Linked DNA regions of Alligator mississippiensis. The protein of the gene in region 2 interacts with the protein of the main gene of each other region in a pairwise test. Links are inferred from orthologs where the notes say so. Each region holds a gene or a part of one and is shown on either strand. Other genes may lie near its edges.

The links.
Region 1: the proteins of AMOT (region 2) and PTPA interact in binary tests that used the Homo sapiens proteins (3 or more experiments, as listed by UniProt). The two-hybrid records come from large-scale screens. The link is inferred for Alligator mississippiensis from reciprocal best matches to the Homo sapiens genes AMOT and PTPA.

Annotation. Positions count from the first base shown.
Region 1 is NC_081835.1:58,229,162-58,236,595, reverse strand, and holds the start of PTPA (serine/threonine-protein phosphatase 2A activator), read right to left. Parts: upstream 3,097-7,434; 5' UTR 2,979-3,096; coding exon 2,954-2,978; intron 864-2,953; coding exon 763-863; intron 1-762. Other genes in the region: CRAT (carnitine O-acetyltransferase), read left to right, coding at 3,705-3,731. UniProt on the Homo sapiens protein: PPIases accelerate the folding of proteins. It catalyzes the cis-trans isomerization of proline imidic peptide bonds in oligopeptides. Acts as a regulatory subunit for serine/threonine-protein phosphatase 2A (PP2A).
Region 2 is NC_081831.1:66,324,373-66,331,382, forward strand, and holds the start of AMOT (angiomotin), read left to right. Parts: upstream 1-3,998; 5' UTR 3,999-4,103; intron 4,104-7,010.

The DNA of each region.
Region 1 (7,434 bases), on a different chromosome or scaffold from region 2:
CTGCAACAGGACAGAATATATCATAAACACAGCTACTTTCAGCTTCCAGGGCTAGACTAAAAGGTATTCTTTAACATGGTTAGAAAGTATCAGAGGTGACAATTAACACCATCTTCCTCAGCTTTGTGGTGGGGTCACATAGACAACACAATGTTCTATGAAGGATGGCCCAAAATCATGCTTTATATGGATTCTTTACCACTGTGGACAGAGCCCCAGCCCTATCCATTGCTGAGGGCAACCTTGGGATCTTGTCCCAGTATGGGAAGAACCAATACGTTATTCTTCTCTTCCAAGCTCTTAGCCCTTACACACTCTACAGAATTGTCTGTAGAGTCAAACCAGAATACTACTGGTATTCACCACCAGCAGTAGCAAAGGCAAGAGCTCTACTACAGACAGGGTTTGGGCATTTCACTATCCACACTGCAGAACAGTGAACACTCCTACACCCCACTATCAGTCCCAGGGGTTGAATTACAGGCCATACAGAGTGGACAGGACCTGCTGTCATCACAAACAACTGCCCAGGTAGGTACTTCTGTTATCCACAATCTCCTACTGCTGTCACCTAAAGACCACTGGAGGAAGCTACATTTATTACAATTCCCAAAACATTAGTCACAGTCCCCTTTTGATTTTAAAAGTCATTATTTCCAGCAGCTTGACCCAACCCTGCTCAACCTGTTACAGTTGGCCTGGTTTGTCCTACACAAATGCCAACACTGAGACACTTCAGGAACATAGAACCCAGATCCATACCTGAGAGCGCTTCCACTTGGCCATATCAGAAACCATGTTTATCTCCTTTTTAGGGATCATGAAGCTCTGCTGGAGGGGAGAGACTGCCTCCTCAGAGGAGCCTGGAAGAGGGAAGAGAGAGAGGTCAAATAGAATGCAAAACAGAATACAACTCCTTCTGGCCTCAGCTCCTTTTCTGAAGTCAAGGCTCGTTTCTCTAGACACAAAAAATGACAACTCATCCCCACTGTGCCAGCTCTCACAAGCTGAGCCAAGCCAAGACCAGACTCTCCAGTCCTTTGACAGCATACTGCCAAGGGACACAGCCCTGCCACAGAAAATAGTGATAGGCTTTGAACCACTACAAAAAAACGTTTTCTATTGAGATGACTAATGGCATAAAACCTTTGTGCAGGCAGCTTAATTAGCTATAGTTAATTGAGCTAAACCCCAGCTGAGAGGTAGCAGATTGGCCTCTAATACCTGTGTCTGGTCACAAGGGTTTTACATCAAGTTAACTACCCCAAAGGCATCTTTTACAATGAAGACAAAACCTAAGTGATTCAGTAGGTGGCACTCTTTACTCTGAAATGGGATGAAGCCAGCATCCCCAAGACCGCACAAGAAGGCCTCTTGGATGCTAGAGATGCTGTTTCAGGTGAGAACAATATTCTCTATAAAGTGCATTGAGCTGCTAGGATGGCACGCATGATATGAATGCAAATCAGTAACACATAAGATCAGCATGACACTGCTCCAGGCCCCCAGTACACAGCCAACTTTTTTCATTAGCTGGGAAACATGTTCCCCATCCTCCCTTCCTCACTTGAAAAAAAGAAAAAGAAAGGAAGCTGTCCTGAACACCAGGGTTATTGCTTTCCAAGCCCCACCACAGTCCAAGGCTCACAACTGGCTCCAGTCTCACTCTGCAGTCCCACATGTGGCAGCGTTTCTAGCTCTGCAGTGGCCTCAAGGTTAAAGGCACAGTCGCATCACATTTCTACGACCAAACTTTATCATCAGGATGCAGTGCAGCAAACAACAATTAATCAAGAAACTAAAGGTATATTTAGCATGAAGCTACCATCCCTTTGTTCATTATTTTAATCTTAGAAGAGTCCAAACTTTTTTCCAGCAACATTTTAATAATCATTCTTAGCGCTACCTGCAAACTGTAAGCACCAATTCTGTACTAAGCCCCAAAATTTGAACTGCCGAAAAACTGTAATCACTAAACTTCATTTGCACAGACAAATCTGCTCAGAAACGTTCATCGGCTCCTTCCTCTCTTCACTGACAATGCACAGCTCTCCAGGAATCGCACCAGACGACCCACAACTCCTTCAAGCTCTGCCAGACTTACCACGCGACTCCAGGGACATCATTCAGCTGGTCTGTGCCTTAGTTTCCCTACAAAACAATCCCACTGCCCCTCACTAGCACGATGCAAGAAACAGTTAATGCATGTTTGTAAAATACTATGAAAGCCCTGGATAGCAAGACACAATTTAGGAGGAATTAAAAACAGATGTACCCTGAACTGCTGCAGCTGATCCAGCTGACAATTAGGCAGCATCACATTACCATAAAGTGGGTTTTTAAATAATGCTCTATATTCATGGATGCAAAGAGCAGCAACCTCAATAGACCTCCAGAGTACTGATAAAGGAAAAAAGAAACCACTGTGAACAGCTATAAAGACAGATCGCGGGGAACAGGGAAGAGTCAGAGACATCCCTGCCGAAGGGCCGAGGCACCCGTCTGGGATTCAGGCCTCCCGGTCCCTTCGGGCAAGTCATTTCATCTCTCGGCGTCTGTGTACCGTGCCTCCTGCACGCTCAAACATCTGGATGCGCACACATGCGTGTACACATGGACACAGACATGCGTGGACACACGCACGCCCATGCACACCCCTCGTCTGCCCAAAACACAAGGTCTTTGGACAAAAGCTCCCTCATGACGCAGGCGGCCCGGCACCAAGAGCCAAGGGGAAGGGGCCGGTGGGGGGGGAGGGCAGGGGGGTATTTTGTGACGAGAACAGCCCTTGAGGAAGGAGACGCTGCCACCCCCCACCCCCCCGGCCGGGGGGCTCTCTCGGGCAGCAGCAAACCTCGGCCCTCCCAGCGCCACCGGACGAATTTGATTTGCGTCTTTTGCGTCCCCCAAGTGACCCCCGCGCCCCACCGGGACCCGCAGGCTCTGCCCTCACCTGTCTGCCGCTCGCTCTCTGCCATCTTCCTGGAGCCGGGCCACCGCCGTTATCACCCCCCACCTCTCACCTCTGCCCTCCCGACACGCACCCGGAGAGCAGTCCGGCGGCCATCTTTGGGAAGGGCACGTCGTCTGTCCCATAAGAGATTGCCATGTTGGCGCGGAGCATGCCGGGCGCCGCCGCTGCTAGCGCGGCCATGTTTGTACCGGGCAACACCCGCGAGCGGGCATGTAGGAACAACTCGCGATCCTTCAAGCGACCGAGAATTCGGGAGCGGCCGGAGGGGTTTCTCCTCCCCCCGTGTCAGGATGGGCCCACCCGCGAGCCCGGACTCCAGCAGTTCCCCGCCTCGCCCCCCGTGCGCTCAGAGTCACCGCTGCCCGCTCGGGAGACATCAGCAGCGACGCATGCAGCAGTGCACCCCAAAACCGGCCTGCCCTTCCCTTAGGGCAGAGAGCGGGGAGGTGGGGCAATGCCCCTCACAAAGATGGCAGCGGCGCCGCTCAGAGTGAAAGCCCGCCCCTCACAAACATGGCAGGGCGCTAGCTCATTGGTCAGTGCGGGGGGATGCCCCGCAGAAAGATGGTGCCCCTTCCATACACTAGGTAGGACATTGCCCCGCACAAAGATGGCGGGAGTGCCGGCCCCTCCCAGCTGCTGAAGTTACCCTGGAAGTTGCTGCCTGTCCCTGCCTTTGCGGCGCGGGACCGGGACGCGGCCGAGTTGGGGTCTGCTGCAGGCAGGAGCTATGCTGGCCTTCCTAGCCAGGAGCCTGGTAAGTGCAGCTGCCCCTGCCCCGCCATGGGGCTGTTATTGCACCGCGGAGGCAGGAGGGAACCAGCGTTGCCAGGTTTTAAACATGAAATGATCATGGCAAGTTCAAAATTATCGTATTTGCTGGAGAAAAAAGAAATCGTACGCTGATAAATATGCAAATAAGCCTGCAACTAAGTCTTCTTCTGGTTTACTTTCTCTTGCTCACTTGAGCTGCCCAGTGAGAACTGGGTCACAGGAGTGGACGTGTTTCTTTATTTGGAGGCCGGCGGTCACACAAAGGCCGTGCATGCAAGCAGTGTAACAGGACTGCTGTAGTTTAACTGTCAGAGTCTGTTTTAATTGGCCAAGTGAACCGCAGTGCTCACTTGACAGGTTGCTAGAGGTAGTTATATATGTATTATACATATTTTTGCAAAAAAAGACAAAAAGGAAGCAAACCCAAAAGTCAGTTAAGGCTCCCGGAGAGTGACTTGGGTTTTGCACATTAGCTGCCTCCAAAATTAGCGTGTATTTTGAACACTCTTACTGTTATAGATCGTACAAGGGTTGAAATGATTGCACAAATACAATAATGATGGTACACCTGGCAACGCTGGAGGGAAGCCACAGAGAGCGATGCACTACCCTGCCCCAGGGGAGGCATGGGGAGAAGGGCTTTGGCCTTTCTGGGCCGTTATAATGGGATTTGCGGGCTGAGGTCAAGCACTGCGAGCAGAGCAGGATGTGGAGGAGCAGGGCTAGCTCAGCTCGGGGCAGGTGGGTGGCGGGGGAAGCTGCACCCAGGGCCAGGTCGGGCCGTGAGTAGACTTTGCCTCGTGGCGGAGTGCCAGGCGCAGGCTACCTTTCCCTTTCCCTTGCCAACAGAGCTTTGGGCGTTTGCCCTGCGGCACGTGAACCTCCTGCCCAGAGACAGGTGGCCAATGGAGTCATTCTCCGGGGTGGGCAGGCCTGGGCGAGGCTCTCTGTGTCAGGCTGATTAGGAATCACCCTCGCCCAGAGCTGCTTTGCTGTGCCAGGAATAGCAGTGTAGATCTCTGCTTGGGTCCCAACACGCACTTTTCTCTGGACTCTCCCCTCTTGTCCTGGTATCCCCAGATCCCTGTTATAGGTGCCATGAAGGGGAGCAGCAAGGCAGGCCGGCTTCTCTCTGGGAGGCTGCCACAGGTGCTGGTGTGCACGGGCCCACCAGGCTCTGTGGCTGTCAAAGCTGGTGCCCTCAGGGGTAGTAGCCTCCCTGTCTGTGTAGACGAGGGGGTTTCCTCCATTACGACTGTGTAGTTGCTGTGTGTCTGCACCAGGCCAGAGACATGGGCTGTCATCAGAGATCCACTGCAGCAGTGAAAATGTCCATCAGAAACAGGCAAGCAATTAGCCCATTTCCAATCTGGACAAAGGGGGCCGCTGCTGACAATCACTCTTGGTGCAAGCTCAATGTTGTAGGGTAGCCAAGGTCCTAGGGCACCAGTTTCCTGTAGAAGCTTTTACAATAGCACTTCCCCTGCTGTCAGAGAAGATTTCACACATGCTGCTGCCCATGAGACTGGTCAAACCCAGTTGCCCAGAGGATGTTCTTGGCAGTAGCAGCGACTGGGGAAAGGAGAGCTGCAGAATGGGTCTTTATTCTCTTCCTGAACAGATGGTCTGTTCTCCCCATGCTGTAGTTTGTCCCAGGACACTCGGGGTTTGGCTCTTCAGTTTTACCCTTTACAACCAACCTCCCTATCTGACAGTCTGCATGTGGCTGAGTGTGTGTGTCAGACATCACACAAAACTTTCTTGTGACTCCAGGCCCATGTACTCTGCTGTGTGAAGTCCTGAATAGGCAGGGGGCAGCAAGTCCCCAGGGCAAAGTGCAGTAATCTGCACATCACAGGTCCAAGGGAATCAATAAAACAAACCCTTTGGCAAACTAATACATATTACTAGTCATGCCATGACCCTAACAGGGCAATGGTGTCCTGTAGCTTAGCTGGAGTGCAATTTGGCACAAACACCAAGCTGCAAGGTGAGCCAGGCCATCCAAACAAAAGTGCAGAGCATCCCCTGTGTGTGAGGAGCTGTCCCCATTTCCCATGGGGACGGGAGAGCCAGGAGTCAGCTGCCTTCTGACAACTCCTATGGTCAGACTTGCTCACTAGTATCCCAGCACTCACCCAGTAGTTACTACTCTGGAACAAGCAAACAAAAGCTGCTGGAGATAAAAACCTAAAAAAGTAATGCTGGGAGTGGGGGTGGGAGCTTCATAGTTTGGGTTTTTATCCTTCACAGTATAGTCCATGAGGATTTTTTTCCATTTGAAAACAAGCAAACAAAATAGCGTGTTGTCCCAAACAGCTCATTGCTCATGGTGATATTTCTTAATGGAACATTGCTACAAATATGTCCATGTGGCTTTGATTTAATTCAGAGGTGGGCGAAATACAGTCTGCAGGCTATATCCAGCCTGCCAGTTGATCCTATCCTGCCCACCAGCTTCCACCAAGAGTGTGAGGAGGGAGGGCTGCACTTTGTACTGCTCCGCTCTGCTTCACCTGAGGTCAGACCAAGCCGTGCAGTGCACAGCCTCCTCCACCCCCGACTTTCCTGGTATGGTACGAAGGCGGCAGCTCATCTCAGTAGGTGGGCAGGACACCTGCTTGGCATGCTGCATCATGCCCTGTCCCGTGCAGGCCTAGCTGTTGATAGCCATGGTGCCAGGATTGCGTAGCACCAACAGAAAATCGGGGGGGGGGGTGCTTGATGCAGGGGGTAGAGGAGTCTGTGCATTGCATGGCCCAGGCCCTCAATGCGGATGCAGCCCCGCTTCCTCAGGCTCCTGGTGGCAGCCAGAGGGCTGGATAGGATCAATTGGTATCACCCTGCCTTTCCACCCCCGTCCCTCAACAGCTCACCAAAACTCATTAAGTGGCCCTCCAGCCCAAATAATTGCCCTCCCCTGGTTTAATTGCATCTAGTTACACAGCCATCCTCAAGGCTGCAGGGATGCTAATATTCTTGTTGCCTGCGGTGTTATCATTGTGGGTCTACTGCCAAGAGCCTAGCATTCAGGATACGCAGCCTGACAATCATGAATCTGGCTTGCCTATGTCTTTGGGGATTGGTCACAGGACGTGGCCTTTTGTCTGCAGGCTACTGATTCAGATTTGGCCCACACACTGAATTCATATGTCCACCTAATGACCATTTGATCAATCTGGACGCAGGTTGTCTGACTGGTTATTGCTGGACTTTGGCCCACGTGAGACACTGCAGCCACTGTAGTTAGCAGTCTGTGCAGAAAGGCTACATTCCTCTGCCACCACTAGAAGCCTTCCCTCCACCTCAGTTTTTATGAAGAGGCTTCTGCTACTGCCCGCTACCCATGGTGTGTGCTTTCTTGTGTGTGGACAAATCTCTTCTGCCTCTGGGAGCATCGGTCTGGCACCAACCCTGCAATGAAGAGCAAAACTCTCTGATTGCAGGTGATGGAGTAAAGGACCTGGGAGCTCTGGCAGCCACAGAGGGGTTGGAGACATGCCAGACAATACTGATACTGGCTGGGAGGTGGCTTGGCACCTCTGCAACTACAATGTATGGTTTTGTGTTTTCTTGACAGAATAGAGCAGTCAGAGAGCAAAGGTTGCTAAAGTATACAACTCCGTGTGTGTGCTAGAACAGGGTAAGATTAGAGAGGAAGCCTGAGGCAGAGACAGAGAGGCTTA
Region 2 (7,010 bases):
TCCCCACATTTTAGTGTCATCCGTGAATTTGAACAAGGTGCTTTTCACCCCCTCATCCAAGTCACTAATGAAGATGTTGAACAGCGCAGGTCCGAGGACCGAGCCCTGGGGGATCCCACTTCCCACATCCCTCCAGATCAAAAAAGACCCATCCACCACCACTCTCTGGGTGTGGCCCTCCAGCCAATTTGCGACCCATCTGACATGCTCAAACCAGCGCGGAATCAGGATAGCTGGGGTCAGTACCTCACCCAGACCCAGTTGAACTGGGAAGACTCACAGGGAGAGAGACTGAAGCCAGAGATCCACATTGACGTGAGTCATCGTCCAGAGAAAGGGAAGGGCCAGATCTCTTCACCTAGTTCTGCACCCAAGCCGGGAGTCAGCTGATCAAGTCTTGGTCGTTTCCTCCATAGGGATCAGAAGCCTAAGCTGTGCAGCCAAGATCACACCTGATCGGAGCAGAAAGCTGGCAGGAGAGCCCAAGAAGCCCCAGGAACTAAGGCTAGGCAGTGAACAGACACTGAAGCGAGCCAAGCATTGGACAGGTGAGGAGTAGCTGAACTGCTTACTTTTAATTATCCTTATAAGGGACAGACTCTTGGGTATCCCAGGAACTAAATCTGGCACCTACAGCAACAAGGCTGGGTGAAGATAGGACTTAAAGTAATTAAATCACCAGAGGTATGAGGCAGGAGTGTAGGGGGCTGGAGGAGCTCTCAAAATTTGGCCCTTAAGATCAGTTGGCTGGTCCTGAAGGACACAGTGCTGCACGAGACTGGGATCATTCTTGGTACTGTCCCTGCTCAAGGATTGACTGTTCTCAGACCAGACATCACCGCCTATAAATTTTCCATCAAAGTCATGGCAGGAAAGACTAAGCAAGGGCAGGAGGAGTCTCTCTTGGAGGAGGGAGTGAGCTAAACCTTTCCACAGCCAGAGGCCAGGAATCACCCAGTCACCAAGACTTACTATCCTTTCACAGGTGGTGACTGTGACACTGACAATGGGCTTTGTACTAGGCAGCAGGGAAAATATACATTCAGATTGAATTTTTAAATAAATAAATAGAATTGTCTACTGAATCCAGGGAGAAGAATGATAAATAAATTTGAAATAATTAAACTACCATGTTTTTCCTCGTCCTCAATCTCCCAGGTGCCCAGACCAAGCAGGAGCCATGTAGACATTTGCTGGGCTTGCTTTTAGCTATTATTCATGTTTTGTAGGCTGGGATGCAGACCTCCCACAGCAGCACTGCAGAGGTAAAGAAAGGAGCAAGTCTGTGATCCACAGAAAGACGATGGATTTTGAAAATCTAATACTATAAAAACAAATACCCCACCAGGATTTATACCAAGTCTTTCTTGTCTGCCGGGTGAGTGAGGCCTAATGACAGCACAATTCATTGGAGTGTCACTCTTGCACTTCTATGTCCTGGATTCCCATGGAGTAACAACAAACATTTCTGATGTGGCTGCCTTCTTGGTATTTACAGTGAAAGGTCAGTGTGTGGCCATTAAACACTAAAAACATATTTTTTCTTCATCAAAGCCACCTCTCGAAAAATCAGTCAAAACTTCAGCGTGGCTGGAACACCCATAAGCAATGATTTTTAGTGTGAGAGCATTTTGTCATCTCATTCTTAAAGTTTGTTCAGCACAATTTAAAACGTTTCTGTATCTGTCTAGCTTATCTAATTGCTATAGTATTCAAGCCTGTGAAACTCACTCTCCTGAGAGTTCTGAAACCTCGCTGTGCCTAGATTTTGATTTGAGATCTTCTTCTATGTAGGCCATCCTACAACAGAGGAAAAGATACCCATGCAGCCTCACCGAAGAACAAAATAGAGAAATGGTCCAACATGAGAACATGAAAGATATCCACTTCATTATCAGCATTTAATTACATTGGTAGGTAAGAGGTCCCAGACATTTGAAACTTTTGGCAAGCCTTATTAGTGTTTTAGCACATAGATATCACTGTAGTTAGATATTTATAAATATCTATAAATATGTAGTTACATATTTATAAATACCTGGATTAGGTCCCTTTGATGACAACCTCTTATACTCTGCTGGATTTGTATCAGTTCTAGATGACCCCTGTACACTTCATGATGACATTCCTTTAGATATGAATCATCATCCTTTTATGTTTTAATTATATTTATTTAGAATATGCTTGGGAGGAAATGATAGCTCAGTACCATTAAACATGAAATACATATAACTCTATATAAATAATCCTATAGAAGATCTGTATTAACGTATGGGGTGCCAAAAAAAGATCACGAGCTGTGGAAGGTATTTTGTGCAGCCTATATTTAACAATAGAAACCACCAAACAAAATAAATAAAGAGGAAGAACTGCAGTCCTTGCTGTTGGGAGTTAGCCAATATTTTAAAATAAAAGTCTTGAAAAGGCTACTGTATTATTTTAGTCTTAGCCTTCGGTGCTGCGTTCACACCAACTTAGAGTGAATTCTTTCATTTATGCTATACCATCAACGAAAAACTAAACCTATGAAAACCATTTAAGTGTACAAACCAAACTCCATCAGGGCAGAAGTGTCAGCACCTTCCTCCCCGAGTCTCTCTAGAAATGTCCAGCCCATTACAGTGGAAAGAAATGTCCATGTTTTTATATTTATAAATATATTAGATTATTGACATGAAAGGCATGTGCCCCTGGAGGTTGGGGGGGCACGACGACTGCCTGCAGGCGGCAGTGACGGCAGCGGGGGCATAGCAGTGACAAGCGGGGAGCTCCCTCAGGCAGCCATGGCAGTGTTGGCAGTGGAGCAGACCAGGCGGGGAGGGCGAGCACTGAACAGTGGTCGGTGACCACCTGCAGACGCTGTTGGCAGCAGTGACCACCTGCAGATGCCACCGGCGGTGTAGGTGGCAAGGTGGGGGGTGGTGAGCGGTGACCGCCCGCAGGCCCCGCTGGCAGTGTCAGTTGTGCTTCTGTCAGGGGGTGCATGTGCACTTGTGTGCACCCCCTACGCATTGCCAACGGTAGGGCATGTCTCTCTGTGTATAAAGCACCGTGCAAAGCAATGTCACACTAACAACGAAAGATCACAAGTAGAAGGCTTTCTGCCTGACCTCAGACTAACAGGGCTAAGTACCTGTCTCCAGTCATGGGTAACATCAGTACTGCATCAACTGTGTGCACACGGGTCACCCGTGACTTGGTTAAGCACCTTTAGAAGTGAGAACCTGACCTGTACAGTCCTTACTGTCCTCTGATGAGTCCACCATCAAAGAGGCCAAATATTGTCATCTGCCGGGGCTGTGATATGGGAAGTGTGCAGTTCTTAAAATATCATTAGCCCTGCATTACACCTTTAGGAAACTGCAGTGGCAGCAGCCATATTCCAGTCAGCAGGTTATAGAGTAGACAGACATGAGAGCTCACACTGTCCTTTCCCATTTCTCACTTTATTTCCCTCCTTAGCGCCTCAAACACGTCCATCATCTGAGGTTTGCTTTAACCAGCAGTTTCTCATCACCAGCACCCCTCCCATTCCCCGGTGCAACTACTGCAGGGAATAGGGATGTTACAGGATGGCATTTAAAATCTTGGTCCTTAACATGGATGTAACAGCTGGAAAGGAGCAGAGCCAGCACCAAGGGAGTTGCCAGCTCCCCAGGAAGACCTAAACAATTGTCTCATGCACCGTGCTTTGGTGACCTCTCTGTTACTCTGACATAAATCATTCCAAGTAATAAGGCTGCTCTTTGTGCATAAAAACCCCAGCACCTGGTTGTTTTTAACCCATTAGGACCTGGCCCATTTTTGATCCATTAGGACCTGGCCTGGACCCCCGAGCCCCACCGCACAGCCAGGGCTGAGATGGAAACAGCTTGTGGTGCAGCTGAGAACTACAGTTCCCAGCAGGCCGTGCGGTGCAGGCTCGCACCGAGCTCTTCTGGGAGTCCTAGTCGGAGCTGCCTGATGAAAGTTAATAACTGAATCTGGGGTAGGCAGTTCCCAGAGCTCCTCGGTGTCTCTCATTGTTATGCTGCCTTTGTCACCTCCAGGGGAAGAGGCTCAAGATGGATGAATGGGATGCTGCTGGGGCAAGGGCCCATGGGGTAAGGAGCCAGGGCACTGCCCTGTGGGGTGCGGAGGGCAGGAGAGGGTCTCCCTGATGCTTGGCTGCACTGTACCTGGCTCTGTCCAGCCGCTGCCTTGGCAGACATCCTCTGCCTGCCTGCTGGGCTGATTGCACTGCTGGTTTGTTATGCATGGGGCATGCTGCGGGCTCAGAGGCAGGGGGAGGCTGCAGGTGCAGCCGGGGAGCAGCCCCCAGCAGCGCAGGGGGAAGGAAGAAGGCGCTGCCTGGCTCTCTGCTGCTGCCCTTTGAACTACTTTGTGTCCACTCACACAAGGGGAGAGGGCTGGGGATGGTGGATGCAGCCACTCAGTCATTCTCCTCCCCCTTCTCCCTTTCCCGGGCTTTAATCTCCAAAGCTTTTGCTGAGACAGGAATGTGCTGCTACCTCCCATGGGGAGAAGAAAGCCCTGCTGGTTTCCTCCCCTCCCCACAGAACCTGGAGTGGGAGTGCGGTGCCCTCCTCCTCACCCCAGACAGAGCAGCCCTGCCCTGCCCTCCCCCTCCATCAGGTCCCCAGAGAGATATGTGCTTCCCTGCTCCCCCCTGCACAGCCCTGCCCACCTCTTACCCCCTGCATTTCAGAGAGAGCCTTGCCACTTGGTTCCTTTTCTGTCCCTGCCACCAGAGTCTAGAGGGATGCAGGCTCTCGCCCACTCCTTCCCAGCCTACGTGGCCAGAGAAGAGCCATATTTCCCTCACCATATTTCTCTCCCTGTGTCCACAGAAAGGCACCCCTGTCCCTCTTGCCCGCTCACCCTCCACACTCACAGCCTAGAGGCCAGAGATAAAAATGGGCTGGGAGCACAGGTGATGCATAGGAAGGGTACAGGGGGGGCACACGCCCCTCCTGAGATTGGCCGCTGCTGACACTGCCGCTGGCATCTGCAGGTGGTCACTGCTCACCAGCCCCCCTCGCTCACCACCGACACTGCCACAACCACCTGCGGACGGTCCTTGCTCGGCCCGCCCTTGCCACCGATGTCACCACAGCCACCTGCAGGCGGTCCCCACTCGCCACTGCCATGCACCTGCCGTTGACACCACCGCCAACACCACCACTGCTGCCTGTGGGCAGTCGCCGTGCTCCCCCAGCCTCAGGAGGCACATGTTGTTCATGGCTGGGAGGATAGCTCAGTGGCTGAGGCACTGGATCAGGGTCCTGGTAACCTGGGTTCACTACCAGGTTTGTCACAGATTCCTTTTGTGACCTAGGACAATTTGCTTCCCTCTCCTCTGTGCCTCCTTAGTTTTTCATCTCTACAGAGGTGATAATCCTTCCCTGCCTCTCAGCAGGACTGTGGACTATTCATGAACTCTACAGTACATGGACAAGAATGGGAGAGTGGAGAAAGTGTTGTCTTGCCTTAAAGCACTGAGCAATACTGAGGTTATGCAGCTCCCCTTTCTTCCTCCATCTCCCACAGTCCAGATGGAGGATGCATCCTTTTCTCTCCCTCCCCTCTCAAGTCTAAAGATTCACAGAAGTTTAGGGCTGGAAGGGACCTTGTGAGATCATTAGGTCCAACCCCCTGCTCTAGGCAGGACAAACTGCTGGGGTCAAATAACTCAGCAAGGTGAGCTTCCAGTCTCCTTTTGAAGATCTCCAGGGTAGATACCTGCACCACCCCCACAGGGAATGTATTTCAGAGAAGGCAGCTGCCCTTCTTTCCTCTTCCTGAGTCCTCCAGAGTCTTTGGGAAGGTGTTAGGTCATCCTAGTCCTCAAACCCTGTAGCATCTACACCAAGATTCTGCTCGGTTTCTTCAGTCCTTACAAGCCCTTTACATTAGAGGTGCACCAATACATTGATCTAATATTGGATTGGCACCAATATAAAGAAAATGGATTGTATTGGAAATCAGGCTGATGCAGCCAATAATGTGGCCAGTAAATGCCCGTGCATGCATGCAGTCGCAGAGCAGCACGCAGGCAGCTAGGAGTACAGCCCGGCAGCTTGGAGACCTGTGTGCAGCTGGTAAGTCTGTTGTGGTGGACGGGGACAGGGGAGGGAAGGGGTGTGGGGAGAAGCAGATCAACACCCCAACGGTGATGGAGGGAGGGAGTGGGGCGGGGCAGGGGCAGGAGCAGGGACAGGGTGTGGGATGGAGCTGCAGCTTGTCCGGGGGATGCAGGGAGGAAGGAGACTCCCACCGTGGTGTGCACCCTGGGAGGGCATGGGGAGTGCGTATGCCCCCGGTTCTGCACGGGGGTGGGAGGCAAGGTATGCTGTAGCTGTGGGCTGGGGGATGCACCGGGCTCTTCCTGGTTTGTGGGGGCTGTGCTCCCAGTGCATGGAGGCTGTGCTTGGGGCTGTCCTCGAGGCTGTGCTTAGGATGGGCAGCTGTGGTGCTGGGAGGGGGGTACAGTGAAATTTGGGGTGGCTGCAGCCCCCCATAACTCCCTCCCAGTGTTGCCACCACCCACCCCAAGTGCAGCCCTGGCCCAACCCTCCCACCACATGCTGGGAAGAGCCTGGTGTAGCCCCAGCCCACAGCTGCAGCCCTCCCATACAGATCCAGGGGCACATGACCCCATACCTTTCTGGGGTGCGTGCAGCTGTGGGAGCCACCCCCTACCCTGTGTCTCCCGGATGAGCCATGGCTCCGTCCAGTGCCCCACCCCACCCCGGCTGGGTAGTGCCTACCCAAGCCCCTGCCCCACTCCCTCCCTCACTGTGGGGCCTTGATCTGCCCTCCCCCCCACCCCATGTCCCTTCTCTCCTCCATCCCCATCCATCACAAATGACTTATCAGCTGCATGCAGCTGTATCAGAAATCGGATCAGTATTGGTCAATATGTCTCCTTAAAAATCGGCTATTAGTATTGGTCCCCAAAATCTCTATCAGTGCACCCCTACTTTACATTCATCAGACTAGGAGCAACT